Regions from separate parts of the Mus musculus genome. Here regions 1, 2, 4, 5 and 6 are each reported to be linked to region 3. The links are microRNA targets in miRTarBase. Many come from high-throughput screens and were not tested one by one. Region 3 holds a microRNA gene; each other region holds the end of a gene's coding sequence. Distances are from middle to middle.
The links. The annotated mature microRNA mmu-miR-466f-3p reads CAUACACACACACAUACACAC and lies in region 3 at 1,710-1,730, opposite strand. An mRNA with a match to its seed (bases 2 to 7 or 8) in the 3' UTR can be bound and repressed. Matches are read on the target gene's strand: a 7mer-m8 pairs with bases 2 to 8, a 7mer-A1 pairs with bases 2 to 7 and ends in A, and an 8mer does both.

Region 1: the mRNA of Srfbp1 is a reported target of mmu-miR-466f-3p. The part of its 3' UTR that is shown has no 7-base or 8-base seed match.
Region 2: miRTarBase lists Cd200r1 as a target of mmu-miR-466f-3p. Seed matches in the 3' UTR shown: 8mer at 736-743.
Region 4: miRTarBase lists Csnk1e as a target of mmu-miR-466f-3p. Seed matches in the 3' UTR shown: 7mer-m8 at 2,087-2,093 and 7mer-m8 at 2,606-2,612.
Region 5: miRTarBase lists Bcas1 as a target of mmu-miR-466f-3p. Seed matches in the 3' UTR shown: 8mer at 4,427-4,434.
Region 6: the mRNA of Trmt61a is a reported target of mmu-miR-466f-3p. The part of its 3' UTR that is shown has no 7-base or 8-base seed match.

The regions. Positions count from the first base shown.
Region 1 is chr18:52,489,651-52,494,741 of GRCm38, forward strand. Srfbp1 (serum response factor binding protein 1) reads left to right here. Exons shown (of 8, transcript NM_026040.4): 7 at 368-405; 8 at 794-2,283. The coding sequence ends at 978. Among named protein-coding and RNA genes, the nearest start is that of Srfbp1, 27 kb to the left of the region's middle.
Region 2 is chr16:44,794,002-44,799,001 of GRCm38, forward strand. It overlaps Cd200r1 (CD200 receptor 1), which reads left to right. Exons shown (of 7, transcript NM_021325.3): 7 at 199-976. The coding sequence ends at 339. Among named protein-coding and RNA genes, the nearest start is that of Cd200r4, 24 kb to the right of the region's middle.
Region 3 is chr2:10,468,661-10,473,736 of GRCm38, reverse strand. It overlaps Mir466f-3 (microRNA 466f-3), which reads right to left and starts at 1,784; the gene lies at 1,691-1,784. All of the region lies in intron 10 of Sfmbt2 (Scm-like with four mbt domains 2), which reads right to left. It overlaps Mir466f-2 (microRNA 466f-2), which reads right to left and starts at 5,062; the gene lies at 4,969-5,062. Mir669l (microRNA 669l) reads right to left here and starts at 4,766; the gene lies at 4,669-4,766. It also overlaps Mir669d-2, Mir297a-2 and Mir466o.
Region 4 is chr15:79,415,596-79,420,686 of GRCm38, reverse strand. Csnk1e (casein kinase 1, epsilon) reads left to right here. Exons shown (of 11, transcript NM_013767.6): 9 at 1-103; 10 at 719-782; 11 at 1,500-2,835. The coding sequence ends at 751. Among named protein-coding and RNA genes, the nearest start is that of Gm16059, 8.3 kb to the left of the region's middle.
Region 5 is chr2:170,343,579-170,348,669 of GRCm38, forward strand. It overlaps Bcas1 (breast carcinoma amplified sequence 1), which reads right to left. Exons shown (of 13, transcript NM_029815.2): 13 at 3,413-4,570. The coding sequence ends at 4,496. Among named protein-coding and RNA genes, the nearest start is that of Gm39999, 8.5 kb to the left of the region's middle.
Region 6 is chr12:111,681,795-111,686,885 of GRCm38, reverse strand. It overlaps Trmt61a (tRNA methyltransferase 61A), which reads right to left. Exons shown (of 4, transcript NM_001099793.1): 4 at 2,984-4,291. The coding sequence ends at 4,017. Among named protein-coding and RNA genes, the nearest start is that of Trmt61a, 6.2 kb to the right of the region's middle.

The DNA.
Region 1 (5,091 bases), not on the chromosome of region 3:
CATGCCCGAAAAGTTTCTAGGTTTTTCTTGGCTCTACACCAAAAACAAAGACTTTAATTTTCATATTATATGTAATCATTGTCCCCTTGAAAACGTTTGAGTTCTTTATATAGACAGTCTGCTAGAGCAAGGGCAAGCTAGCCAAAGTGGATTACTTCTCACTGACCAGAGGTCTCTGTGTGGGTGGAAGGAAAGGGAGGTGGGCTCAATGGATTTAAATATCTGATTAGCTGAGTCCTGGATTAATAATTGGATATTAGAGCGAGCAAGTGGATGATGCATCATGTGGGTGAGTTTTATCTCCCACTCCATCATCAGAGGATTTGTTTTGTCTCTTAGGTCCTAATGTTGTTCTGTTTTCTTTTAGGGATCCCAGAGAACAGGCCCCAAAGAATAAAGCCCCAGGTGTGTACAGACTGCTCAGCCTGCAAGCAGACATTGCTTTGTCGCAGTGAGAGGACAAAAATTGTCATTTCCTAATAGTATTATTCCTGATGTGTGTACCCACACAAGTAGAAATGGGGTGTTGTATCACTACCAGTATCAGTTTTTATTGGTTTTCTGTAGCTTGTTTTGTCTCCCCATATTGGCAAGAGCCTGCATACAATAATTAGCAAATTAACTACTTGTGTAAGTTCTTAATTCGAAGCTGTCTTCTATTGGGATGCAGCTTTAATTGGTGAGATACTGTGTCTAAGTAAAATACGATTTCCTTGAATGCGTAGTGTAAAGAAATGAAAGCTTTCTTTCTGCTCTGGTATAGTTACTTGTCGTTTTTGCTTTCTCTTCCCAGATTTTCCAGAAAATGAACCCCCAGTCAAGAAGCAGTTTACAAAGAGTGCATACAGAGGCTTTGAGAGTGTGAAGCAGACGATGCAGGCACCTCTGCATCCGTCCTGGGAAGCGAGCAGGAGGCGGAAGGAGCAGCAGTCCAAAATCGCTGTGTTTCAGGGGAAAAAAATTACATTTGATGATTGATTTGATACTTGCTGCCTCTTTGCAAGCGTTCTGTCAAAATTTTTGGTTTTGTTTTTAACTAACATGTTATTTAAACTTGCATTTTAAATAAGTCTCTTTCAAAGAGTTATAAAATATATTGCTTGTTTTTCTTTTTTTATGTGAATTTAGGGAATATTTACATAATCTTTTCACAGATCTCTAAATTTATTTCATAAGAATGCTTGCCCCAAATTATTTCTTACATAAAGTAATTTAGATATTACGGAATTTTAGGTTTTCTCATTCATGATTACAAAATATATTTCGCTAGTTAAGCTTTCCCTTTTGCCTTCAAAATAAGGCAAACAGGGCTTAGGAGATGGCTCACTTCCTGGGGCCCGATGGCCTGAGTTTGACCCCTGTGATTCCCTTGGTATGAGGGCAGAACTAATTCACAAAGTCGTTCTCTGATTGCACATACACTGTGGCACATGCCTATGTACATACAAATATGTTCACATATAATAAATGTCATATAAAAAATGTTAGGACATATTTAAAATAATAGTGAGAAAAGAAAGAAATTAGGACTAAAAAATATTTTTATAAGCAAAACAGAAATGGCAATTTTCATTGTGGATATAGAAATAGTATATAAATAAATATTAATTTGTGATAGTTGCAGTTACTTGTGACTTATCTTTGCAGTGTTTGAGCAACTTGCTTATGTGTAGCAACACCTAAAAGTTAAGTTCTAAGTACCCCTGCAATGAGTATTTCCATTCATTGAAGAATGGATCAATAGAGCCCTAGTTTTTCTGTCCATGGACCAAGTCCAGGATATAGTGTTCATGGTACAGAAAAGTTATGCATGGTGTCTAGTCACTTAGGCAAATATTGGAGTACAACACTGGGAATTGAACCTAGGGCCTCATGCATTCTAGGTCTTATACATGCTCTACCACTGAGGACCTTGCTGTGTGGCTCAAACAGGGCTGGGTTTTTACTCTCACAGTACCAAGATGCAGGCATTTTAACTTGTGTTGAAATGTAGAAGAGGAGGGATTGAAGTGGCTAAATAGGAGTTCTTGGACTCCTAAAGAACCATGTACTCCATACAGTAAAGGAAAAGAGGTTTGTAAAAGATGCTTGCCTGTTTCATACAGTGCAGTGACTTGTGTTCAAAGGAAAAGAAAGAGGTTTGTAAAAGATCCTCGCCTGTTTCATACAGTACAGTGACCTTAAAGGAAAAGAGAGAGGTTTGTAAAAGATCCTTGCCTGTTTGCCTTTTATTGCTGTGGAAGACAAGAAAGATGGTTAGTTAATTAAACAGTGCTAACTGAATTCTATGTGGCCTGCATATATATTCTCTTAGAACAAGGTAACGCCTTCCACTCTGCCTTCAAGCGCCTAGTTAGCAAGTGTACGTTCTGTTTTACAAACTTAGGAATGTCAGTAACTAGAACAGTGGGTTCAGTTTATGGCGGAGATGTGGAGTTTTCTTGAATCTTCATTCCAAGCAATTCCCTGTAAACCCCCCAACCCCCCCAAAAAAAAGTAAAGAAGAGAGTGTGTGTGTGTGTGTGTGTGTGTGTGTGTGTACACCTAAGCAAGTTGGAATGCTCTCTACAGTTTTGTAAGTTTGCCTAAGAGAGTTCCTTGGGCCAGGAGTCCACCTAAAAGTTGGAGGCAGACTTTTACATCTACTGCTATAGTTTATTACACGGAGACTTTACAATGGCAATGAACTTGCTGCTGTGCCTCCAGATAGAACAGCTGGTAGGGCATTTGAGTTTCTGGTAACTTTGCCCTTAATGTCTGGAGAGGTTCAGATTCATGAAAGGCACCACAGCAATCGGATATAGTCTAGACATACTAACTCTCTAGCAATAAAGATTATGTTTTATCAGACTAAAATACAACTCAAAGGTTGAAAAGTCCTGGGTTTGTGCCTTTTGATTCTCTTACTATAGTATTGTCCTAGCAAGTCTTCCTGTTATATAGGATCACAAACTGCCTGGGCCTGTGAGTGCCTACACTGTCCCACCTGCTACCTGGTGATTTTTGTCTCTGTCTTGATATATTTAAGGATTGACTTTGCAGCAAATCCTTAAAGGGGCTCTGCAAGTCTTTCTAAATCCTTCCTCCCTGATATTTAGCATCACACGTTCTATTGACGTTCTATCTTACCTCAAACTTTAGTAGGAAGACATACCTGTATTCTGTATTATCTGCCTAAGAGTGCTCTCAGGGTTAGCTGACGCCTCTGAACCAGTCAGCTAGTTAGAGCTTGGTTGCTTCTTTTTCTTTAATCTTCAGACATGGAGTCTCAAAACTGAAAGAAGAAAGTGTCTAAGCTCCTGGAACCAACTTTCTCTGAACTCAGGAGTTAATCAGGCTTGCAGTAATCCAAGGAGAGAGAGAGAGAGAGAGAGAGAGAGAGAGAGAGAGAGAGAGTGTGTGTGTGTGTGTGTGTGTGTGTGTGTGTGTGTGTGTGTGTGTGTGTGTGTGTGTGTGTCAGAAACTACAGATTACTGATGAAACAGTGAGGGTTGTCGGCTTTAATTTCCCCATCCCCTACTCTAGATCTATGGTAGCCTTGAAAGCTATCAGGCTATTACCACAATGAAGACCAGCCTAGCAACTGTTGGAAATACGTTTGCAACATCTGTAGGGAACATTGATTGTCTGAAATGTGTGGTTAGTTCAGTGGAAGCCGCCCACTTGGCAAGGCTGCCTTTATTTGGTGTCAGTCCAAGCTTGCTTAGCTTGATAGCATTTTCCCTTAAGCTGCCTTTTGAGAAACACGGGCAGTTTGACATCATGGCCGCCATAAGCAGCAGAGAGCTGCTAAGGTAGGAAGTACACTAATCACAAAGCTTAGAGGGAAAGCTGAAGAAGATGCTGTCTGCTCACTGGGGCTTTGGAAATTTCTGACCTTTTCTAGAAGTCAGATAATGCACGAGTACAGACTGACTATCACTGCTCAGGACCTAGTTGAAGGAGCCTCATCATTCACCAGGGGTGTAAGTGATGAGAGCATGTCTGTTTAAGGGAATTTGTCAAATTAGGGCAGTGTGAAGCTATGTAGACTGCAAACGGCATTACACATGGAAAGAACTGAACTTCACAAAAGTAATTCAGAAACTATCACTAGCTGTAGACAGGCATAGGGTACTGATTTTATAAACACTTCATTATTTAATGTGTCTAATTTTCAACAAATATATACAAAATGTGACCCAGTGTACAAGGGACCAGCAATAAATAGAAACTGAGGAAGAACAAATGTTGAACTTATTTCAACAAAGACTCCGAGTAAGCTAAATTAAATATTTTCCAATCTGCAGGGCACTGTTTAAAAGAGACAAGAAAGTATACTGCCTGACCAAAAGGGGAGGAAGAGGAATTAGAAGTGGTATGATGCACATGACTGTATTGTAGTGTCAAGACAGATGTAGTAGAATTGAAAATGAGGTTAACCTACGTCAAGAAACAAAATTATAAAGAACCAAAGTCTGAAGTTAGGAAGTGCAATTACCAAGTTAAAAAGTTGAAAAGGGATCTTAATGTCAACTAAGATGATGCTGTTCGAAGAGTGGGAAATAAAAGAACGAGCAGCTTTGCGCAGAGGTTACGACCACTTGCTGTGGGATTCCGAAGACCAGAGTTCAAATTCCAGCACCCATGAAGTCTGGGTATCCTGCAAAAGACCAATAATTAGCTCCAAGGGATTTGACGCCCTCCTCTGATCTCTAAATGCACACAGTCACTTGCACACATTCATATATTATATATACATTTAAAAAATTAAAAACCTAGCACACTTGAAGACCTATGGAGTACCACTTAATGTACCAATTTAGAATAAATGGGATTTTTTTATATAACCAGTTTACAGTCAGCTAACTGTATTTCCCAAAGACTGGGAAAATGTGTTCTCATTAAAACTTAAGCATGGATGTTCATTGTGCAAATAATAGCTACACACTCAAAATACCCAAACAAAATGTGATCTATACTAGAAATGAGGTATATATATATAGCATGGGTAAAAACTATAGCATGGGTAAAACTTGAGAACATATTAAATAAAACCTCTTGGATCAGTCACTGTATGCATGTCACATTCTGAGCGTTGGTGTAATAGAT
Region 2 (5,000 bases), not on the chromosome of region 3:
CCCAACAACCATTTCACACAAAATATAAATAACCATCAAATGTTTGTGATAGATTATTAGAACAAAGCCTTGATCTTCTGAGGCAGATAAACAGTTTTAAACATTATTAGTAGATGCTAAATGTGGTAGAAACTTGGGTAATTTTGGTAATGATGTCTAGCTCTTTTGAATGGATTTTAACTTTGAGCTTTCTTCAAGGATGAAATGCAGCCTTATGCTAGCTATACAGAGAAGAGCAATCCACTCTATGATACTGTGACTAAGGTGGAGGCATTTCCAGTATCACAAGGCGAAGTCAATGGCACAGACTGCCTTACTTTGTCGGCCATTGGAATCTAGAACCAAGAAAAAAGAAGTCAAGAGACATCATAATTACTGCTTTGCTTTCTTTAAAATTCGACAATGGAAGGACTACTTGGAAATTAGCTCTTCCAAAGCTATTAAAAAGCACAAATGTTCTAATGAAATTGCATTTAAATTCTATCATTGGAAGTTTGGAATCTCTGCTGCTACCTGTTAATTTTAGGAAGAACTGATTTAATTATTACAAAGAAAGCACATGGTTATGGTGAAATATCAAGTTGTGCAATAAAGTATGATGAAAACTGAGTTTCCTCAAGAAATAACTGCAGGAGGAACAATCATCACTAAAGAATTTCATGTGAGTTCTTACAAAAAAATTCCTATGTATACATGACTATGGTATGTGTGTCCAATTACATGTTTATTTACAAATGTGTATATATGCACACATTTGCTTTTCAGGACATCTCCTTGTAAAAAACACACTGGAGTTTTGGATTTATAAAAGCTTATAAAGTGAGCATTGGAGATATTTTTATATCAGCATAAGTAAATCTACCTCATTCTTTTTAATGGCTACATAGAATTCTCCTGTATGATTACATTGTAATTTAATTAATCATGGCCCTTGGATTTTGTGTTGTGTGTGGTATTAAACAAAACCATGTAGAATATTTGTTGTGGTGAATCTCTGCATTATTTGAGTGCACCTGTGAGATAATTTCTTTGAGTGTAATGGTCCTGTCAGTTGGAATGCATTTTTATTATTATTTTTTTCCCATTTTTATTAGGTATTTAGCTCATTTACATTTCCAATGCTATACCAAAAGTCCCCCATACCCACCCATCCCCACTCCCCTACCCACCCACTCCCCCTTTTTGGCCCTGGCGTTCCCCTGTACTGGGGCATATAAAGTTTGCGTGTCCAATGGGCCTCTCTTTCCAGTGATGGCCAACTAGGCCATCTTTTGATACATATGCAGCTAGAGTCAAGAGCTCCGGGTACTCGTTAGTTCATAATGTTGTTCCACCTATAGGGTTGCAGATCCCTTTAGCTCCTTGGGTACTTTCTCTAGCTCCTCCATTGGGAGCCCTGTGATCCATCCATTAGCTGACTGTGAGCATCCACTTCTGCGTTTGCTAGGCCCCGGCATAGTCTCACAAGAGACAGCTACATCTGGGTCCTTTCGATAAAATCTTGCTAGTGTATGCAATGGTGTCAGCGTTTGGATGCTGATTATGGGGTGGATCCCTGGATATGGCAGTCTCTACATGGTCCATCCTTTCATCTCAGCTCCAAACTTTGTCTTTGTAACTCCTTCCAAGGTTGTTTTGTTCCCACTTCTAAGGAGGGGCATAGTGTCCACACTTCAGTCTTAATTTTTCTTGAGTTTCATGTGTTTAGGAAATTGTATCTTATATCTTGGGTATCCTAGGTTTTGGGCTAATATCCACTTATCAGTGAGTACATATTGTGTGAGTTCCTTTGTGAATATGTTACCTCACTCAGGATGATGCCCTCCAGGTCCATCCATTTGGCTAGGAATTTCATAAATTCATTCTTTTTAATAGCTGAGTAGTACTCCATTGTGTAGATTTACCACATTTTCTGTATCCATTCCTCTGTTGAGGGGCATCTGGGTTCTTTTCAGCTTCTGGCTATTATAAATAAGGCTGCTATGCACATAGTGGAGCATGTGTCCTTCTTACCAGTTGGGGCATCTTCTGGATATATGCCCAGGAGAGGTATTGCTGGATCCTCTGGTAGTACTATGTCCAATTTTCTGAGGAACCGCCAGACTGATTTCCAGAGTGGTTGTACAAGCCTGCAATCCCACCAACAATGGAGGAGTGTTCCTCTTTCTCCACATCCTCGCCAGCATCTGCTGTCACCTGAATTTTTGATCTTAGCCATTCTGACTGGTGTGAGGTGGAATCTCAGGGTTGTTTTGATTTGCATTTCCCTGATGATTAAGGATGTTGAACATTTTTTCAGGTGCTTCTCTGCCATTCAGTATTCCTCAGGTGAGAATTCTTTGTTCAGTTCTGAGCCCCATTTATTAATGGGGTTATTTGATTTTCTGAAGTCCACCTTCTTGAGTTCTTTATATATGTTGGATATTAGTCCCCTATCTGATTTAGGATAGGTAAAGATCCTTTCCCAATCTGTTGGTGGTCTTTTTGTCTTATTGACGGTGTCTTTTGCCTTGCAGAAACTTTGGAGTTTCATTAGGTCCCATTTGTCAATTCTCGATCTTACAGCACAAGCCATTGCTGTTCCCCTGTGCCCATATCTTCGCATTTTTATTATTAATAGATCAGTCAAGCTGTCAGTTTACATTTTCTCCAATTGTGTTTGAATGTGCCTTTCTTCATATTCTTATTATTATTCTTATTCTTATTCTTATATTTTTATATTCTTACTTTCACATTTATACTTTCCATGTTTAATTAACCAGATGGGTGATATGTCTTACATTTATGATATTGACTCAATTATTTAATGGAACTGGACTCATATCTTTGTCAACATGAGAGAGACAGGAAGCATTTGTAATGACAGTATTTTCAACTCTTTGTATTGCTACAAAAGTGCTGCCATATCATGCACAACAGTTTTATGGACATTATGAATTGTGCATTTTTTTTAATTTTTAATTTTTTTTTGGTTTTTTGAGACAGGGTTTTTCTGTGTATCCCTGGCTGTCCTGGAACTCACTCTGTAGACCAGGCTGGCCTTGAACTCAGAAATTCACCTGCCTCTGCCTCCCAAGTGCTGGGATTAAAGGCGTGCGCCACCATGCCCGGCTTGAATTGTGCATTTTAAAAATTCTATTCTGATGTAATTATCAAAGAACAACTGTCTTTGAACTATATGTGTAGGTGGGAGAACTTGGAGAACTTTACATGCTAAAAGGATGGTAATGGGTTGAAAGTAACTTTTCCCTCCATTGTTCTTTGGATGGAAATATTGGGAGTACATATATTGGTAACTTTTAGCATATATATTTTCATTGTTAAAAATAAGCCTGTTCTCTTTATATCAGAAAAACTATTAAAATAGATTTATTCATCTTATTTTGTTTGCTTTGTTATTTTGAGATGAGGAGTTGATTTCTAAGGTAGTTCTACAATCACTCTAGAGCCCAGTCTGGCCTCCCAATGGCTATGGTTACAAATGTATGGAAGGATACTTGCACAAGTATTTTCATTATGATGTAATGATAGAATTAAACCAAGACCCATTCACTCTTCACATGTCCCAACTGAGACATTTAAGGCAATTATTTTGTCTACTAAAATATTTTTCTTTCCATTTGGGAAAATTACCTCTTTTTCTTCTTCCTATTCCTTCCACCCTACCCCACTACTTTGAAAGTTATGCATTATAACATATATGTATTCATGGCTAGGTTTTTGTGGTGGATTAAATAGGTTTGGTCCCCATATAAATTCATGTGTTTTACTGTTTGTCCATAGGGAATAGAACTATTAGAAAGTGTGGCCTTGTAGGTGTAGATGTGGCTTTGTTGGAGGAAGTGGGTGTAGGCTTTGAGGGTTCCTATGCTCAGATTCCATCCAGTTTGTGAATGCTAGTCCCCTCCTGGCTGCCTTCAGAGGGGCGTCTCCTCTTGGCTGCCTTTGGGTCAAGATGTAGGTCTCTCAGCTTCTCCAGCACCACATCTGCCTAGACTCAGCCACGCTTCCCTTCATGTTGATAATAGACTGACTGTCTGAAATTATAAGCCAGCTCCCACTACATGTCTACCTTTATAAGAGTTACTTTGGCCATGTTGTTCTTTCACATCTATGAAACCATATGTGGTGTTTTGAATATGCTTGGCCCATGGGAAGTGGCTCTATTAGAAGATGTGACCTTGTTGGAGGAAGTGCTGTGGGGTTGATTTTGAGGCCAGCACTGGTACCTGGGGACTCTAGATTGGCTTTTCTGCCCTGGGCACTTTCCTGTATCAGACAAACGGGGAAACTAACCTGGCCATATTGGCTCTACTTAAGATACCACAACCAGAGAAACTCAGTAGCATCTACTAACAATTGTTTACAATTTGAAGGCTAATCCATTTTACCCAGAGTTAACTACTGCACACAGGCAAGCATGGTGCTAGAAGTATTTTCCAATCAAGTGGGGACTAAGCAAGCATGAGCCTTTAGGGTTAATGCACATGCAAACCCACTACTGGCACACCTGTAATCTCAGCTTCTGGCAGATTGAAAGATTCACACCCTTGGTAGGCTAAAAGCCAGTTTGAGCTTATATCCTGTTAAAACCAAACCAAACCTGCAGCAGGAATTCCGTATCCCGTCCCGCAAGATAATGATTATGGTTAAGTAGGCTCAGGTCTACTACAGTAATTGATAGGGATCTGTGAGTGGTACCCACAGGAGATCTAGTCTCTTTTTAAGAGTCATCTTTCAGATGCAACCATATATCTTTACAAAGTGTCCCATCAGCACCCTTGTCTCCCAGACTCTTCAACAGCAGCCAGCTCTCCATTCCCTTTGTGTATTGGATGAAGTGTGTATTTCTTGGCTTTCCCTGACTCCTGTTATCTCATGTGCCTTTCTCATCCAGCCCCACAAAATTGCTCTCCTAGTCTTAGTTTAAATTTGATTTTTGTGTAAGCTTGTACCAAACAGCTCTCCAGTCATCTCAAAATATGGCTATCTCAAAGATT
Region 3 (5,076 bases):
GTGTTTGTGTGCACATGTATGTGTCCATATGTGTGTGTATATGTGTATGTATGTATGTATATATATATATATATATACACATATATATATATATATATATATGCATGTTCATATACCCACATTTACATGCACACGTACCTATACACATATACACATACACGGGGACAATCACAGAAATTCCAGGCTGTTCTCTAACTCATCATGAAGTTAAACATGAATTTGAACTCCATATTCTCCTCCCTCTGGCAACAATATTCACCTCCTAACTGAGACATAGTTCTGGCCATTCCTGTGAGTATGTGTGCATACAGCTATGTGCATATTCATGTAGAGAAGTGAATATGCACACAGCTATACACACATGCACATTCTTGGAGGGCATCACATGAATCGCATGCTGATCTCTACTCATCATGAATTAAATATGATTTTGAACTCCTCATCCTCCTGACTCTGGCAAGAGTACTCACCTCCTAACTGAGCCATAGCTCTGGCCCAGTACTGCATAAGCTCTAAAGCTCTAAGTCACATACCATTCAAAAGGATATATGAGTGGCATTCCTGTGCGTGCATGCGTGTATATGCATATTCATATAGAGAAGTGAATATGCACACAACTATACACACATGCACATTCTTGATGGACATCACATGAGTCGCATGCTGAACTCTAACTCATCATGAAGTTAAACATGAATTTGTACTCCAGGACCACCTGACTCTGGCAAGGGATTTCACCTGCTGAGTGAGACCTCTCCCTATTCAGTACTGCAGAATCTTAAAACTCTTAGTCACACGTCATTCAAATGGATCGATGAGTTGCATTCATGTTTGTGTGTCTGTGTACATGTCTATGCGTGTGTAGATATGTATATTCATATACACAATCCACACACAGGTACACGCATGTACACATACATGGGGGCATCACATGAATCCCAGGCAGATTTCTAAGTCATCATGAAATAAAGCATGAATTTGACCTCCTGACCTCCTGATTCTAACAAGCATTTTTAATATGATGGGTGATAACTCTCCCTGACCTAGTCACACATAATCTCCAAAGCTCTCAGTCACATAGATTGATGAGTGAGTGCCATTCCTGTGTGTCTATGTGCTCATATGTGTCTTATGTGTGCATGTATGTATATCATATTCACACATGTACATGTACACACACATCAACACATACACACATACATAGGGGCAATCACATGAATGCCAGGATGACCTCTAACTCATCATGCCTTTACCATGACCTTGAACTCCTGATTATCTTGACTCTGGCAAGGGTCTTTACTTGGTGAGTGAATCCTCTCCCTGGCCCAGTCATACAGAATCTCTAAGACTCTAAGACACATATCATTCAAATAGATCGATGAGTGGCAGTTTTGGGTTTGTGTGCATGCTTGTATGGGTATGTGCGTATGTATATGTATACTCATATACACACATGCACATGCACACATACATATACACACAGGCACATACACTGGGGGCATCACATGAATCAGAAGCTGATCCCGGACTCAACATGAAGTTGAGAATGAATTTCGACTCCTGATCCTCCTGACTCTGGCAAGATTTCCACCTTGTGAGTGAGAGCACTCACTGGCCCAGTACTACATAATCTCTAAAACTCTAAGTCACATATCATTCAAATGAATAAATGAGTGTCGTGTGTGTGTGTGTGTGTGTGTGTTGCGTGCGTGTGTATGTGTGTGTGTATGTATACATATATTCATATACACACATGCACATGCACACACACGTAAACACACATGCACATACATGAGGGGCATAACATGAATGTCTGGATGATCACTAACTGAAATTGAGCATGAATATGAACTCCTGATCCTCCTGACTCTGTCAACAACTTTCACCTGGTGAGTGAGACCGTTCATTGACACACTACTGCATAATCTATAAGACTCTAAGTCACATATCATTCAAATGGATCAATGAGTGCCATTCCTGTGTTTATGTTTATGTTTTTGTGTTTCCGTGCATGCGTGTGTATATGGGTGTGTATGTATATGTATATTCATATAGACACATATACATGCACACACAAGTATACACACATGCACATATATAGGGGGCATCACATGAATCCAGGATGATCTCTTACTCCTCATGAAGTTAAGCATGATTTTCAACTCCTATACCTCCTGACTCTAACAAGGGTTTTCACCAGGTGTGTGAGAATTGACACTGGCCCTGTCATACATAATCTCCAAAGGTCTAAGTCACATATCATTAAAATGCATCGATGAGTACCATTCCTACATGTATGTTTGCATGTGTGTGTATATGTGTGTATGTATATGTATATTCACATAAACACATGTACATGCATACACTTCTGCACACATGCACATAAACGGGGGACATCACATGAATCCCAGACTGATTGCTACCTCATCATGAATTTAATATGAATTTGAACTCCTCATCCTCCTGACTCTGGCAAGAGTACTTAACCTCCTAACTGAGACATAGCTCTTGATCAGTACTGCATAAGCTCTAAAGTTCTAAGTCACATACCATTCAAAAGGATATATGAGTGCCATTCCTGTGTGTGCTTGCGTGTATGTGCATATTCATATAGAGAAGTGAATATGCACACAGCTATACACACATGCACATTCTTGTTGGGCATCACATGAATCGCATGATGAACTCTAACTCATCATGAAGTTAAACATGAATTTGAACTCCAGATCCTCCAGACTCTGGCAAGCGTTTCACCTCCTAACTGAGACATAGCTCTGGATCACTACCGCATAAGCGCTAAAGCTCTATGGCACATATCATTTCAAAGGATATATGAGTGGCATTACTGTGTGTGCATGTGTGTATATGCATATTCATATAGAGAAGTGAATATGCACACAACTCTAACACATGCACATTCTTGGTGTGCATCACATCAATTGCATACTGATCTCTAAATCGTTGTGAAATTAAGCATGAATTTGAACTCCTGATCCTCCTGACTCTGGCAAGTGTTTCACCTAGTGAGTGAGACTTCTCCTTGACCCATTTATACATAGCTCTAAAACATTAAGTTACATATCATTCAAATGGATAGATGAGTATCAATTTTGAGTTTGTGTGTGTGTGTGTGTATTTGTGTGTGTCTCTGTGTGTGTGCATGTTGTGTTGGTTAGTTTATATGTGTATATTTATATGCATATATTAACATGCACACATACATATATGCACACATGCACATACATAAGAAACATCCCAGTCTGATTTCTATCTCTTCATGAAGTAAATTTTGTATTTGAACTCTCTCTTCACCTGACTCTGGCAAGTGTTTTTACCTTATGAGTGAGACTATTACTGACCCAGTACTACATAATATTTAAAGCTCTAAATTATATATCATACAAATGGATCAATGAGTGCCATTCATGTGTGTGTGTGTCCATGCATGCATGTATGTTTGTGTGTATGTATATGTATATTCATATACACATATACACATGAACACACTTATGTATACACATATGCACATTCAAGGGGAGACATCACATGAATCCAGGCTGATCCCAAATTCTTCATGAAGTTAAACATGAATTTGAACTCCAGATACTGATGACTCTGGCAAGGGTTTTTACCTGGTGAATCAAAACTTTCAGTGGCCAAGTACTACATAATCTCTAAAGCTCTAAGTCACAAATAATTCCAATGGATCGATGAGTGCCATTCATATGTGGGTGTCACATGTATGTGTATGTATGAGTTTATGTATATGTATATTAATATACACACATACATCACGGGATCATCACAAAAATCTCAGGCTCCTCTCTAACTCATCGTGAAGTTAAGGATAAAATTGAACTCTTTTATTATTAGGTATTTTCTTCATTTACATTTCCAGTGTTATCCCAAAAGTCCCCCATACCCTTCCCCCCCCAACTCCCCTACCCACCCACTCCCACTTCTTGGACCTGGCGTTCCCCTGTACTGAGGCATATAAAGTTTGCACGACCAATGGGCCTCTCTTTCCACTGATGGCCGACTAGGCCATCTTCTGATACATATGCAGCTAGAGATACAAGCTCCGGGGCGTACTGGTTAGTTCATATTGTTGTTCCACCTATAGGGTTGCAGATCCCCTCAGCTCCTTGGGTACTTTCTCTAGCTCCTCCAATGTGGGCTCTGTGATCCATCCAATAGCTGACTGTGAGCATCCACTTCTGCGTTTGCCAGGCCCTGGGCCTACTGACTCTGGTAAACATTATCACCTGCTGACTGAGACCCCTCTCAGGCCAAGTACTGCATAACCTCCAAAACTTGAGGTGACATATCATTCAAATGAATCACTGAGTGCCATTCATGTCTGTGTGTCTTTGTGTGCCTGTATATGATTGTATGTATGGATATGTATATTCATATACAAACAGGCAAATGCACACAAAACTATACACCCATGCACATACACGGGGTACATCCCAGGAATACCAGGCTGATCTCTAACTCATTATGAAGTTAAGCATGAATTTGAACTCCAGATCTTTCTGACTATACCAATCGTTTATATCTGGTGAGTAAAAAGTTTCATTGGCCCAGTACTACATAATTTCTAAAGCTCTAAATCACATATCAATAAAATAAATCGATGAATACCATTCCTGCGTGTGTGTTGATGTGTTCATATGAATGCGTGTATATATGGGTGTGTATGTATATGTATATTCATATACACACATATACATGCACACACAACTATACGCACATGCACAAACATGGGGGGCAAAACATGATTCACAGTTTGATCTCTAAATCCTCATGAATGTAAGCATGAATTTGAACTCCTGATTCTCCTGATTCTGGCAAGCATTTTCAACTAGAAAGTGAGAGCACTCACTGGCCCAGTACTACATAATCTCTATAGTTCTACGTCACATATCATTCAAATGGATAAATGAGTGCCATTCGTGTGTGTGTGTGTGTGTGTGTTACATGAGTGTGTATGTGTGTGTGTATGTATACATATATTCATATACACACATGCACATGCACACACACGTAAACACACATTCACATACATGGGTG
Region 4 (5,091 bases), not on the chromosome of region 3:
AGAGAGGAAGGTGAGCATGAGACTCCACAGAGGTGCCCCTGCCAATGTCTCCTCCTCAGACCTCACTGGGCGGCAAGAGGTCTCCCGGCTTGCAGCCTCACAGGTGAGTCAACTCTTCCAGGCCTCTCGGGGGCACAGTGGACCTAGATATTCTTGGTGTGTTGGTCTGACCCTGTGGCACCTTTCCTCCCCTGCCTCTGATCACCCTGAAGCTAATTAGCCCTCTTGTGTTGAGCAAAGCGAAGGGAGAAACTGAGGCTCAAAGAAATAACAGCCCAGTAAGCGCTAGCACTCACTGCGGTCTGGGTGGGCGACTCTCGGCAGTTCCCATCAGCACTGACAACAGCAAGGGATGAAGCGGGAGGAGGGAGAGGTCTTGTCAGGTCATCCCACTTAATGGCCATATTCGGACTCAGAATGTAGAGGAAGGGGCTTGGCAAAGGTAGATCTACCCGATCCTGCCTGTGGGAGACGAACTTCCTTGGACTCAGACCTGGAATTGAGCCAGCCTTGGCCTCCAAGCGGGGGTGTTTCGGCTCTAGAGCCAGGGGCAGCCTCAGACCTGAGATCACACAGCTGCCCTCAGACTGAGCAGCCTGCTGTGAGGGATGGAGCTCCATTGGGGGGGGGGGTGTATGAGACTTGGGGAATCATTGTGGCCACCTGCTTAAGGACCTGCCTTGAGACTCCCCCATATTTCTCTGTCCCCCTCTTGAAGACAAGCGTGCCATTTGACCATCTTGGGAAATGAGGAGAGCGACCACAGACCAGTGTTTGCTTAGGTGAGTACTGGTGTCTACTGAGGGCCCTGGAGGGCAGGGGAACGTGACGCAGAAGCAGGAACCTCCCCTTCTAATCTCTTCAAGGAAGCTTTAGATTTTAAAATCTGCCATCCAAGCTATCACTTCTCACAAGCAGTCCTGAATCGGTACACAGGGACACTTCGGGGAAACCCTTTTTCTGTCCTTGGGTCTTCTGTCCCCTTGATTCCTAGGAAAGACCAGGCTCCTGGCCACATGTGGGTTTCCAGGGCTTTAGCCTACCTCCTCCTTTTGGCTGTTATATAAGATGATATGTGCAGAGCCAAAAAGGAACCAGAGTGTAGAAGGGCCTTCATGTGTTTATACACAGGAAAGACCCTCTGGCCAAAGCTAGTTCGGGGTGGACTGCCTGCGGCTGTCTGTGGCTTGGGGGGCAGTACCTAGAAGCCTGGTTTGGGAAAGGGGCCACAGGCTCTTCTGGTAGTATTGGCTGGGGACCCAAGCTCCCTGCAGAACATGGATATTAGCAGGCAGTGTCCCACCCATTGAGACGTGCAGCTTCACACCGTGGTTTCTTAAGCAGACTTCACACTGCAGAAATTCTCCCAACAAATGGCTAATCAGTTCAGATAGACATGGGGCTGGGATGGCCGCTCAGCCCACCAGAGCAGAGGAGCGCATTGGCTGGGTAAACCGAGGCAGCCAGGCACCTGACCGTTGTCTTTTCTTCCCTCCTAGTGTCTTCACTGCATTTTCTTTAAAAAAAAAAAAATTAAATACAAATAAGAGAAAGGACAGAAAGAAAGAACAGTTCACATGAACAAAAAAGAGAAAAACAAACAAACCACAAAACCCACAACCCAGCACAAAGTCGACAATGGATTTTGTTTCTTTGATTTATTTTGCCAATGGCAAAAAGACAAGACCTCGTTAGCACTGAGGATTCTTGTTCCCTTGCCTTGCCCACTGCTCCCGACCTGAAGGCTGCCAACACTCCTCTAAGGACACTGGGTCACATGCCAGCCACCTGTTCTCGCCACCGGCCACCACGTGCCGGGCCGCCATCGGAGGTGCCTGAAGAGCTTGTGTCAGGGAGCGGTTTGGCCAGTCAGAGACAAGTCCCAAGAGATTTCATGGAGCCTTGGATGACACACACGCCATCAGCCCTTGGGTGATGACAGTGACCAGTGTTGTATGGGGCTTTCCCAGAATCCCCTTCCCTGAGCATCCTGGTCTCCCCCACACACACCTGTCACCTCTCTACAGAGACCCTGAGGGTGCGGTGAGATGGAGGCCATGATGCCTTGTGTGACTGTGAGTGTGTGTGTGTATGCATGAGAGAGAGAGAGAGAGAGAGAGAGAGAGAGAGAGAGAGACTGAGAGAGAGAGAGAGACTGAGAGACTGACTGAGAGACTGACTGAGAGACTGCTGACTTGTATTTTTCAGAGCTGCAGGTGGCCTGCCACGCCTGCCTGGCCAAGTTTCTGTTCCCCTCCTCCTAAAGTCAAGGTGGGGTGGACAATGACTTCCACATCCCTCAGGGCATAGAGTCCTTGCCACCACCTGTCCCCAGATGCCAGTGTGTGGCACCCCTCCCCCCCCAACTTCCATTCCTGATCTTAGGCAAGTTCTTGGAGTCTGCTCCCAGATGGCATCGGCTCTGAGATACCGGTTACTTCCCTGGTCCTGAGAGTCACCTGTGGTCACCCCTCTTCCCAGGCCTGACTTCTGAGTAGGACCCTGGGTCAGGGCTAAGTGTTGAATTTACCCTTCCTGGTTAACACCTGTTTTGTTGGTTTTTTTATTATTATTATTATTATTATTTTTGTTTGTTTTCTCAGTGTGTGTATTTCCTAATTTATTTACCTCTTTTTTTCCCCTTTCTTTCTTTTTTTTAATTAAAGAGCAAAACTTTTTATTACTTTGTAATTTAAAAAACTGAAAAAAAAATTACTGAAGAACTTTGGGGGGAATTTTGTACTTTTTTCCTGTGTAAATATTGGACTTTTTTGAGCTTTATTGTGGTTGTTAATTTGAAGTAATAAAGTAGAAAAGGACAAAGTGATATAGATACCCTCTGTCTGCCTCTTTGCTCTTGGGGTTTCTCATCGCTGACTTACCAGGGACTGTACATCACAAAGAAGCCATCAGCCTCAGGCAGCTGTGGCTGGGGCCATTAGGACCTGTCCTGTGGTATATCAAGCCTTCAGAGCTCAAGGTACACAGTGTAGCCTCTGGCCTCCGGGTGAGGAGAGCGCTCTTTAGGTGGTGCGGGGCCTAGGTCTACACAGTGAAAGATGAGGCTTCCCCCAAGACATCATGTTATTTATAGAAGAGTTCTGAGGGTTTGGGACACTTGCTTCCCTGCCAGAAACTGGCCTTGGGTTACAGCCTGGGTCAAGCCATCAGACACCTCTCCTCTGGTTGACCATGCAGTTCTGTGAGGTGATCTCTGCTCACCCTGGTGAGCAGGACCCTGGTCCCTTGGCCAGATCCTGATGTGGTAGTCTCCACTCTCACCCACTTTGTCTCACTGCTTGTAAACCATGCTTCCAAGTCTCAACACCGGCCACTGCGATAGCTTTCATCCCGGGGAGAGCAAAACTTGTGACAGATGGTGTTTTAATTAGGATTTTACTGCTGTGAACAGACACCATGACCACCGCAAGTCTTATAAATGATAACATTTGATTGGGGCTGGCTGACAGATTCAGAGGTTCAGTCCATTATCATCAAAGCAGGAACATGGCAGCATCCAGGCAGGCAGGAGCTGAGAGTTCTGTATCGTCATCTGAAGGCTGCTAGCAGAACTCTGACTTCCAGGCAGGTAGAATGAGGGTCTTAAAGCCCACACCCTGACACCTACTCCAACAGGGACACACCTTCTAATAGTGCCACTCCCTGGGATAAGCATATATAAACCATCACAGGTAGCAACTCCTGGAGCTTCCCTCAGGTCTTTCAGAGTCCTGGGCTTAGCTCAAAGGCCTTCCCAGTGTCAATATTTAAAGATTCTATGACCTCCACAACCTGGCCTGGAAGTTGCTGTCCTGCCAGCCCCTGTCACACAAGTGTCAGGGATCGGGGTTGTAACACAGACTTTAGAGCGTGTCACCCGAAGCCAGGTAATTATGGTTAGATTGAGTGGCAGGGGAGAGCTGGTAGACAGGGTTTGCCCTTCAAAATGCGTTTTATTCATTGCCTTTGCTGGCTGAAGTGCTGGAAAGATGCGGCCCCACCCGTCCCTGCCCAGGAAGTAAGAAGCTACAACGAAGCTCTGAAAAGATAACACAGTTGACCTGTTTCCCTTGTACTTTGTCTTACAGCGGGAACTGTGGAATGCATTTTGTTTTAAGGAGAGGTGGTGCTTTGAGACAAGGTCTCACGTAGCCCAGGCTGGTCCCTAATTCAATAGCAAGCTGAGAGTGGCCTCGAACTCCTCACCTCCTCCCTATTTCTCAAGTGATCACAGGCATATGCCACCATGCCTGGCTCAAAAATCATAGTTCTTAATGACAGTAATGTGTAGTTTTGCTATTTCCTGAGCACAGTTAAGATTCAAAATGGAAAGCCGGGCGTGGTGGCGCATGCCTTTAATCCCAGCACTTGGGAGGCAGAGGCAGGGGGATTTCTGAGTTCAAGGCCAGCCTAGCCTGGTCTACAAAGTGAGTTCCAGGACAACCAGGGCTATACAGAGAAGCCCTGTCTTGACCCTGATGCCCTCTTCTGATGTGTCTAAAGCTTCAATATACTTACATGTAATAATAAATCTTTTTAAGAAAAAGATTTAAGCCAGGCGTGGTGGCGCACGCCTTTAATCCCAGCACTCGGGAGGCAGAGGCAGGCAGATTTCTGAGTTCGAGGCCAGCCTGGTCTACAAAGTGAGTGCCAGGACAGCCAGGGCTACACAGAGAAACCCTGTCTCGAAAAACCCAAAAAAAAAAAAAAAAAAAAAAAAAAAACCAAAAAGAAAAAGATTTAAAACAGGACAGGGTAGTGGGGGGAGGAAGTTCAGAGAGTAAAGGTACCTGTCACCAGACTGTCACCTGAGTTCAATTCCCAAGCATACCCAAGCGGATGTAGAAGGAGAGAACCCAGTCTTGAACTCTTAAAAGTTGTCTGTGCCATGTCATGCTCTCGCTCTCTCTCTGACACAAACGTCACAAACATTAGAAATTTAAAGATCTCAAAACACCAAACTTTTAATATTACTGTTACCAAGTCGGACTGTGGTGGCACACGCCTTTAATCCCAGCACCGGGGAGGCAGAGGCAGGCAGATTTCTGAGTTTGAGGCCAGCCTGGTCTACAGAGTGAGTTCCAGGACAGC
Region 5 (5,091 bases), 160 Mb from region 3:
GAGGGCACACAGCTGAAACTTAGATAAACGCATCAAGAAGGCTGTGTGTGCGATCCTGTCAGGCAGCGTGACCTGTATCCTGGTTTCTGTTAAATCATGTGGTTGGCTTCCGCCTGGCAAGTGAGAGGCCCCAGGGTGCAGAGGAGCGGGAGGTAGCTTTATGGGTGGCTACACAGAAGCCAAAAAAAAAAACAAAAAAACAGTCTAACCTCTGGAGAATCGACCCCTGGCCCAGTGTCTCTGCCTCCACTACAGACTGAAGAATCAATGTCTGGACGTTGCTTGCTGTCCTTTCCCCCCTTGTTGCTAACAGGCAGTCTTTCAGGGGCCCACGCTGCTCCACAATCCACAGAGTAAACACAGTCCTGACCAGGGACAAACCCGACTCTGCACACTGTGCCAAACTGCTTACTTAAGGGCTCTAAAGAGAACGCCGAGAGTGGTTGAAGCTGAGCCCCGTCAGCAACCCAGCCCTAATCTTGGGGTTTGCACCGTGGGAAAGTGGGTAACTGCTGCCCTTTCCCTCTCCTTCCTCACAAGCAGGACAGGGAAGGATTTTCTCTTCCATTTGTGTTCATTACCACGCTGCTGCCCCTCCACCCTTGTACCGCTGGAAATGGAACACAAGGCCCCGTTTGTGCTGGGCCAGTACTGTAGCTCTGAGCTACACCCTAAGCTCCAGTTTATTGCTCCAGGACCTGGCTGGGGCTCTGGGACAGAAGAGACCACACCTGCAAGTCCTGGATGTGGACACCTAGCCTTCTTCTGGGACTTTGGGGGGAGCCAGAGGGGTACGTTCTGGACTTTTAAAATCTAATGAGACCCCCACTGCTCTGGGTGTGTGTGTGTGTCTGGACTATATCTGGATTGTTTGACTGTTTGCATGGTGCTTGGGGGGTAGGGATTGAGAGAGAGAGAGAGAGAGAGAGAGAGAGAAGAGGGGGAGGGAGGGAGAAACAGAAACAGAGAGAAACAGAGAGAGAGAGAGAGAGAGAGAGAGAGAGACCTGTGTTTAATGAGCTACAAACAAAACAGTCTCTCTCTGGCTTTCTTTTTCCCCTCCTATTTTTTGGCAGCTCTTTAGGTTTGTGGCTCCTTCCCCCCCCCCCGCCCCCCTCCCCAGGATGAATCCAAGAGTGGCCTCGGGCTGCTGGGAACAACTGCTCCTTTGAGTGAACTCTTTTATGGATATTAGGCAAACAATTTCTGTCAGCAGGAACTGGGAGGCATCACTGAGAACATGCATGCACGTGTGTGTGTGTGTGTGTGTGTGTGTGTGTGTGTGTGTGCACTTGCATGTGTGTGTGTGTAACTTGCACGCACAATGCCGGGCATCTCATCTCACTAGCTCCATCCTTGGGAAAGGCACGTCTTCTTGGCAAGAGAGAGGAGACACTTCCCTGAGCACCTACAAACAAATCAGCGAATCATTAACCGACTCATGGTGACAACGGGCACCTTTGTCCCTCTCCTCCCGCACGCACGTCTTTACTTGGTTTTTCTTTGGGGCTAGGATTCTGGGTTGTTTCGGTGCCTGTCAGGTTTGCTTCTCACTCCTCACTCCACCTGCCAGAGCTTGGTTGGGCTCTGTGGGCCGAGCTCTCAGTTTCTTGCCCCCTCTTTGTCCTGTGAACTTTCTGTGCGATTTAGGGAGTGCCTTGCTGGGGCAGTTAGTGAACTCTGCATCAGAGAAAGGATTGCAACGGAAAACGCAACCTTCACAGGAAGCACAAAACTTGCTTCTTAAACTACAGCTGGGTTTACGGTCCCAGCAATAAATCACTGAGTTTGTGGCTTAAATTTCCTGGCCTTCATAAAAACAAAAGCAAACCACAATTTCATTAAGAGTGCCCTCTTCTTCAGCCTAGGAGAAGGGAGGGACCAGGAATAAACACCCGGGAGGGGCTTTGCTGAGCTTCTCTCAGACAACCCCTCTCCCATCCCAATTTAGAAACTGGAGGTTGCTATTGCCTGGTGGCCAGAGTCAGTCACTCCCCACTGCTTCTGCGCCTCCCAATCCTGCCTGTTAATGTCTCTCATCTCAGCCTGAGGCGCCGGTGCCCTGTAAGGTGAAACTGGCCAACTTCCTCTACAGGCTGAGCTAGCCCAGAGGCTGGCAAAAGGTCACAGCAGGCGTCACCCCCAGGGATCTGCAGACAAAGGAACTGACAGCTGGCTGGTCTCATTGGTGTCAACTCAGAAGGACTGGGTAGTGTGGCCACTTCTCCCCCTCTTCCAGTTTTCCCAAGGTGCTTTTAGCACCCTACCCCAATCTTTCCAGCAAAACCTTCTAGCATGGTACGGGACTCTGAACCCGGCAAGGAACAGACAGTGATTTCCAAATCAGGTCCTGAGGATCCAGGAAACAAGTTTAGCTTAAAGGAAACCACTGCTGATCTGTATTTGAAACCCAGAATCCAGTCAGTGTGCTGGCAGGCCCCAGGCCCCAGGCCACACTGCCTTACTTCCTCCATATCTGGGGGCCTCACAGACATGGCTGCTCTCTGGATACATTTACCAGTTTTCCAGTCTGTTCTGTCCTAGGTGTGGTTCCTGTGCTCTCATTCACGCTAGGACAAGATAGATGGCAATGTTTATTTCTGACCCCTGTGAGACAGTCTCATGTTCTGCGTGCGTGTGTGTGTGTGTGTGTGTGTGTGTGTGTGTGCATGAGCGTGCATGTGTGTGTAAAACCTGCCAGTGTGTGTGTGTGTGTGTGTGTGTGCAAATTTGCTAGTCTGGCAAGAATGAATATATTCTAAAGGGACACCCGCGATCCTCTTTGACTATAGACTATGGAAACAACCAATCTCAGAAAGTTAAAATTTCCCCAGGAGACCCCAGGAGGAGAAGGAAAAGGCTGAAGCCCTGGGGTGGGGGTGGGGGATGGAGAGGGAGGGAGGAGAGGGCTGGAGGAGGAGTTTACTGGAGAGAGCATCACTGCTCCTAGGAGAGACTTGGAGCTGAGGTAGAGGTGAGCAGGGAACCGCCCCTGGGCTGAACTGCTTGGCTATGCAGTCCTGTTTTCGACTTGAAGGACCTTGAAGGCAGCCTGTGGGAGGCAGGAGAGACTCTTGAATCTTTCTCCCTCTTCCCAGTGTGGCCACATGGAAGAATCTGTTTTTTAATATTAATTTGGCTCTTTTAATTGGCTTATGAAAGACTGGAGGTCAAACCTGGTTTGCTAGGGCAGAGGCTGTGAACTGATCATATGTGCACACCAATGTATTCCTGCCTATATGAGTTTGCAGTATGAATGTTCACGAACACAGAGTCGTGTGTGAGAGTATATCTGGACACGTGTGTGGGCATTCATAGTGTACACTGTCTTCCAGCTGCTTACAAAGACGCAGCCCTTGTAGAGAGCGTTGTCAGCGAGCTGCACTTGAAGTTTAGAATCAAAAGCTTTTCTAAAATGTAATATTTTTTTATTAAATTGGGAAAAGAAAGGTACAATACAGATGACTATCAGTCAATCATATGGTACTTGGCAATTCCATCTTAATGGATTCACAGTCCAATTCAGTTCTCTGTACAAGAATTAAAAAAAAAAAACCACCTCAAGTATTCGCATAATCTGTCAATTTTTATTAACTGGGTTAGGGGAGGGTTTTTATCAGAGCACATTATGAAAACATTAGGACATTACAGACAGGCGTGAGATAAGCGTCAGACCGAACAGATGAAGCAAGTCCCTCAGCCATCTGAGAAACATTAATAATGAAATAGTGCAGAAACAAATCTTTGTTAGGGGTACCGGATGCAAAGGGAAAAAGCAGAGATCCTGGCGCCCCCTTGTGTTGCAAAATGAACCTGCACCTTTATTTCATTTTGCTGTTTCCCTTTTGAAGTTGGGAATTCATGCCCTTGTCCCTGTGCCCCAGAAGTAATTGTTTCCCCAAATCCTAGCAAGCCCTCTCCAGCAAATCACTTCCCCATTCACTGATAACTTCCAAGGACCCTATTTGAAAACCAATTCTTGCCCATTCTTCTTTACAGCCCACACATCCTGTTCCAAAAGTTGGCAGACGCCCAGCGTAGATGCCTGCCCTGAGTCCTCCTTCCCCCAAGTGTGAAATGAAATAAACCAGTCTTCCCTTCCCCTCTTCAGGCTTAGAGGATGTGGCAAGAGTGGCTACAAATCCAGATATTCTTTGTCTCATAAGCACTTTTCTTCTGCATCTTACTGGATACCTGCCATTTTTTCATAACTTAACACAAATGCCTTTATCTACCTACTTCCTCCCCCACCTGGCACTCACCAGCTCCCTTGGATCAACTGGTCAACCTGCTAAGCCATTTTTACACTTAAATGCCAGGAAAGACTGGACCAGAGACGTAAATAATACACCTCGATCTACAACAATTCAGGTTGAAGTTGTAGGCAGAATTTCATTGGCTGACCAGAAGAAGAAGAAGAAAAATATATACACAGTGTGGGTCTGGACAGTAGATGGAGTGGGAGGAGAACCCAGTGGGAACTGGGTGATTTTGTTTACTTGGATTTTCCAACTGGTCCGATGGAGACCGGGTCCGTTTGCACCTGAGCATCCGACATCCGCTTTGGTCCCTGGAGAAAAACATAAAGCAGCCAGCGTGAGGCCAACAGCAGCGAGGGGGACTTATCACGTGCTTATTCTACGTAAATATGACAGTGCTCATGGGCGGATGTCTAGCTTTAATACCTAGCGACGTTGCTTCCTGGGTTTGTGAAATCCTAGACACATTATGATTTGATTTTAAAATGGGAGTGCTCAAACCCAACTCTGAGAGGTGCTCCCAGATAAAGTGTGCTCAAAGTGTGACACATATTAGAGCAGTCCTGGGGTCGGGGGTCAGGGGTCAGAGGCCAGGGTGGGACTTGCTATTCTAGTTCATTCTACATCCCTAGCCACTGTCAATAGCTCATTCTTTCAGGTTCTAACAAAATGGTGCCCTGATTTGTTCCCCAGCACTATCTGAAGTGACCTTACTCTGTTTGACCTGACATCCTCCTCCTCTGTGGGTTCAGTCTGCTGCCTCCTCGGGACCATTCGAGTGCCCCGGCATGTGGAGGTTGCACCTCACTACTGTCCCAGTGTGGCAGGTGGA
Region 6 (5,091 bases), not on the chromosome of region 3:
ACTCATGTATGCACACACGCACGCGCACACACACATGGAGGGGCAGGGATGTGCTCATGTCCCATGGTGCACGTGTGTAAGTCAGATGGAGTTCTCTCTGTCCACCATGTGGGTTCCAGAGACTCAAGTCTGGTCAAGTTTGGTGGCAAGAGCCTGCCTTTACCTACTGAGCCATCTTGTCAGCCACTCCCTCCCACCCCAAAGGACGGCTTCTGGGAGAAGGTGGCAGTAGTCACAGTGGCATTCTGTAAGCTGACTGTCCCAACCACTGACATGACACACTCTCAGTAGGCCACGAGGCTGTCACTGTCTCATCCCCACAGGGAGGTGACTCACCACCAACCTGAGTGGCATATCCAGAGACTGGGCTCATCCCACCCCTACACTCCTACGGGCGAGTTACCACCCAAGCTCTGCTACCCAGAAGGTCAAGTCTATAAACCTGAGGTCCCTTCCTTGGGACCTATATAAGAGTTTAATCCCCTGCTTTTCTCTGCTGTTCATGTCTCTCACACTGTGTGTCTGGTTCAAACCAGGCTAGCAGTGGAAGTAAGGCTCCTCACCAATGGAGGTGAGAGCTGGGAGCACTGGGCACTAACATTTCCCAGACATTCCTATGGCCTCATGCGCTCAGGTCTGAAGGAGGCCCCTACCCTCCCTAAGGAGTCTTATTCAACTGACCTAGCAAGAGCATCCTAGGCTGGCCGTAAGTCCACAGGACGTTCACCAGCCCACCCCTGTGGCTTCCGGTGTAAAAGCTAAGTGAGTCTTCTTTCTCCACCTGGGTGGCATTTCCAGCAGTGGGCCGGAAGCACTTCTTTCTCCCTGTTGCTGGAGTCCCTGGCAGCCTGCCTGTCCCAGGATGAAGGCTAGGCTGAGGCAGAAAGAGGCAACTGTGCAATGGTCAGGAGGGGAGAAGAGGACACAGCTTCAAGGTCAAGTTCCAAGAGACCTAGACAATGTAAGAGGCAGAGGTGTCCCTAGCCACCCTTGTACTACCCATTCTTCACCCAGAGACACAATACTAGATCCCAATGCCCTTGCTGGAAAACCCTCAAACACAGGGCAGCATATTTTGAGGCCTGGGCACAGCTCACAGGCGGCTCGGAGGAAGTCTGTCTGAGGAAGCTGATCACCCTGGCCCAGGAGCCTTCCAGCAGGTGAACCAGGGTCTGCACCTAGAGGTGCATTCAGGGCTTCCCGGGGCTTGGCGCTGCAGAGCAGACTCTTGCCAAGGAGGCTGAGAGGTGTGCTGCTGTCCTGGTCACAATGCAGGTTGTGACCCAGGAAAATATCTAAGGGAAAACTGAGGGCCAGTGACAGGAGTCAGGCTGGAAGGGGAGTTTCCAGGATCTTGCCCCATGATGAGTCCCGAGCCTCTGAGTCAGGTGCACCCAGGATCAGTTAACTGAACTCAACAACCATGGCTTCAGGGCTACTTTAGGAGCCAGGCTCAGTCTGAAGGACCTGGGGACCTAGCCTCTCCTTTGCCCTGGGGGCTCCTGCTGAGGTAACTAACCCTCAGCAGATCAGTGCAGGGTACAGAGGATGGCTGAGCTGAAGGCTCCTGTCTGAGAGTGGGCAGCAGTCTGGGAAAGCAGTCAAGAGGAGATGGTTTAGCCAGGCAGACAGCAGATCTGAGTTCAAGGCTAGCCAGAGTTTTGGTTTTTCGAAACAGGGTTTCTCTGTGTAGCCCTGGCTGTCCTGGAACTCACTCTGTAGACCAGGCTGGCCTCGAACTCAGAAATCCACCTGCTTCTGCCTCCCTAGTGCTGGGATTAAAGGCGTGGGCCATCACTGCTCGGCTAGCTTTTTTTTTTTTTTAAGGCTAGCCAGTTTTATAGATCAAGTTCCTGGTCAGTCAGGACTACACAGAGAATACCCCACCTCAAAAACTAACTAATGAAGGAGTGAACGAATAAAGAGGATGGGGCTGGAGAGGTGGCTCAGCGGTTAAGAGCACTGGCTGCTCTGCCAGAGGTCCTGAGTTCAATTCCCAGCAACCATATGGTGGCTCACAACCATCTGTAATAAGATCTGAAGCCCTCTTCTGGTGTGTCTGAAGACAGCTATTGAGTACTCACATGGAATAGATGAATATTAAAAAAAAAAAAAAAAGAATAAGGAGGATGATTTGAGCAGAGCTGTAGAGACACAAAGGCTTGCAGGTAAGTCCAGGGCCAGGTGGCCCTCCAGCTGTGGTTGGACTTAGAGGTAAACTAGGGTTGGATAGACTCTCCAAGGCTGAGACTATGAAAGCTAGAATTTGGTTATCCCAAGGGACAGTAAGTAGATTGTTTTTTTTCCAGACTTGGCCAGGGTCCCTTCTGCAGGACATCTAGCCAGTGAGACCCATATGGAAGACATAACCTGGGCCTTCCTGGCTATACGGCCCGTGTGTCCCACAACTGAGCAAGCTCTGTCCCACAGTAATGCTGTCCCTTGACCTTTACCTGTTGGCCAGAAGCCCTTCCCCAAGGACAGAGAGCCAGGATTGCTCAGGCCAGGCCAGGTAGCAGGGTGCCCAGATCATCCACTTACAACCCTTTGCAGGTCCTGGTACTGAAGGCACCCACTCTATGTTGCACATGCGTGGGGCCTCACCTCAGTCCTTTAGGCTAGGCATGTTAGAGCTGAGAGCAAGTCCTGGAGGGAGGGTAAGCCCTGGAACAGGGTTGGTGGTCCTAGGGAGCCGGAACAGCTCTGAGGGCACACGACCTCTAGGACCTCCAGTTGCCATTACACTGAGAACAGACAGCCTGGGAAGCCAACCCCAGGAACTCAAGTTAGGTTCTCATAGGAATGTGGGAAGGAGCCCAGGACATGCCTTTGTGAAGAGTCCTGTGGTGTTGTTCTAGAGGTCAGAAACGCCATAGTACCTACTGAGGGCAGAGAGAAAAGGACAGAAGTCAGGAAGGCACGTGTGGAGCAGCGGGCCTGGGCCACTGCTGAAGGACAGCCCTTGTGGGAACAAGACAATAAGCACAGTGGGGAAAATATTTATTATCCTTTGGGTGCCCTCGGGTATGACATATGACAGTAGGACACTGGTGAGTCTCGCGATGGCTGCTTCCACGCAGCAGCAGCAGCTGACTGGCAGCCTCACACCAAGATGATCTGAGCACCGAGCACTGAAACTCCCTTGAAGCTAGCCACATACCGAGAATGGACACCAGGCCAAGGTGACACATGTGGCAAGTCCACAGCCAGGCTCTTAGCCCATGCACAGGCTCCTCTATGATCCGCTTTGACCCCAGCTCCAACAAGGACTGGAAGGTCACGGAAGCAGGGACCAATCCTGCTGTGTTCTATCCCTCAGGATGATGCCTAACCCCAGATGACAGCACACCAGCACACCAGGAACTCCACACACACACACACACACACACACACACACACACACACACACACACACACACACACACACACACACACACGGTCGTGCTGACACACACGTGGCCTGTGCAGCACATGATTATTGATTATCATCACCTCCTTTGTTCCTGGGCCAGCCTGGTCCCTCCATCAGCCTTAGGGAAGTATAGGGAGAGGAGGGCAGGGCTGGGCTTTCTGGTTAATTTAGCTCAACCACAGCTTCTGGCTAAGCTCTGGAGCACCAGGGCCTGGAGACTTGCGCCAGGGATGGGACAACCCACGCTCCCGTAGGTCAGCCCAGGCTATAGGCAGTGCCCAAAGCTTCCGACGCCCTCAACTTTTACCATTTAGTCTCAAAACCCAGGAAGGACTATGGAGAGGAAAGACTCATGTTGACAACAAAGAGCCAGGACAGAGCTTGCGCTGAGCAGTGATGAAGTGGAGACTTCCCTCTCAGAAGACAGGAATGCCTCCCAGCTGAGCAGGGCCAGCCTACTCACCCCCCTCAGCCACCCAGGAGGCCCCTGCCCCACCCCGCCCCCATCTCTTTCTAAACACAAGCCACGAGGGCAGTGGCTGACCATATAAGGCAGCCTCTGGCCTCCCTGCCTGCTTGCCTGTGCTGTTCATTTGGAGGCCTGCTAGCCTGGGGTTTTAGTGGCAAAAGTCAGGTAGCCAGTGTGGCCCACAGTCTCCTTCATGGGTGTGCCACTACGGAAGGGGCTGGCATCAGAGCCCATGTTGGTCTCTAAGTTGTTGGCCCCCAGGTCGGGCAAGGGCAGACTGACAGTGCGCACATTGTAGACCTGTGGCAGTACCTCCAGGGTGCTAAGCTCTGTGAAGCCATGGGCTGCCAGCGCCTGGCATGTCCGCTGCACCTGCTCAATGCACGGAGAGAAGGAGCAGAAACGCCCACCTGCAGGAGCAAGACAGGGGTCAGAGGGTAGTGTAGTGGCATCCACAACCCACCCTGGACCTGAGGCTGGCTCAAGACTGACTGCAGACTGTAAGCCCTCAGACCAAGTCGCAATGCAAGGGCCTCGGGAAGCTATACATTTTTGCCCTACCTGCTGGGCCACCCTTGGGCAGAAGTCCGGGTCAGTAGCGAGGCCCAAGACTGAGATGCCCAGGTCTCCCTGCCAGTAGGCATCATCATCCTGCCTTGTAGGAGGCAGTGGAGGGCTGGGGGGTGGGGGGGTCAGGGCTGTCAGAGCCAGTCCCAAGAATAGCTCTAACAATAGGGCAACATGGGGCGGTGTGTGGGTTGCTGCTGTCACAGAAAATTAGAGGCTGTCGTTGGCTCTTGGGAACAGGAGGAGCCTACAGCAAGCACATTTGGAGCTCCTCCCTGCTGCCTCCCACGGGGGCAGCTTACAGGCTTTACTCAGCCTGCCCCCAAACTATGAAAGTGCCCATGAGCAAGCCACGGCAGAGATGCAGTGTGTACACAAGTCCCTAGGCCTGGGACCCAGAGCGCTCCCTGACACAGGGATGAGACAGGATAGAGTCCGCTGTCACTAAACAGCAAATCACACCATATACTCCTTGCCAGAGGCCACTAGAGATAGAGCGTGTTACAAAACACCAAGCCTACAAAAAAAAACAAAACAAAACAAAACAGAAAAACACCTCACACTGAAGGACCCAGAGAATGAAGATCTGGGGAAGAGCCCAGGAGAGGCAGACATGGGTCATGGGACCAAAACAAGGCAGAGG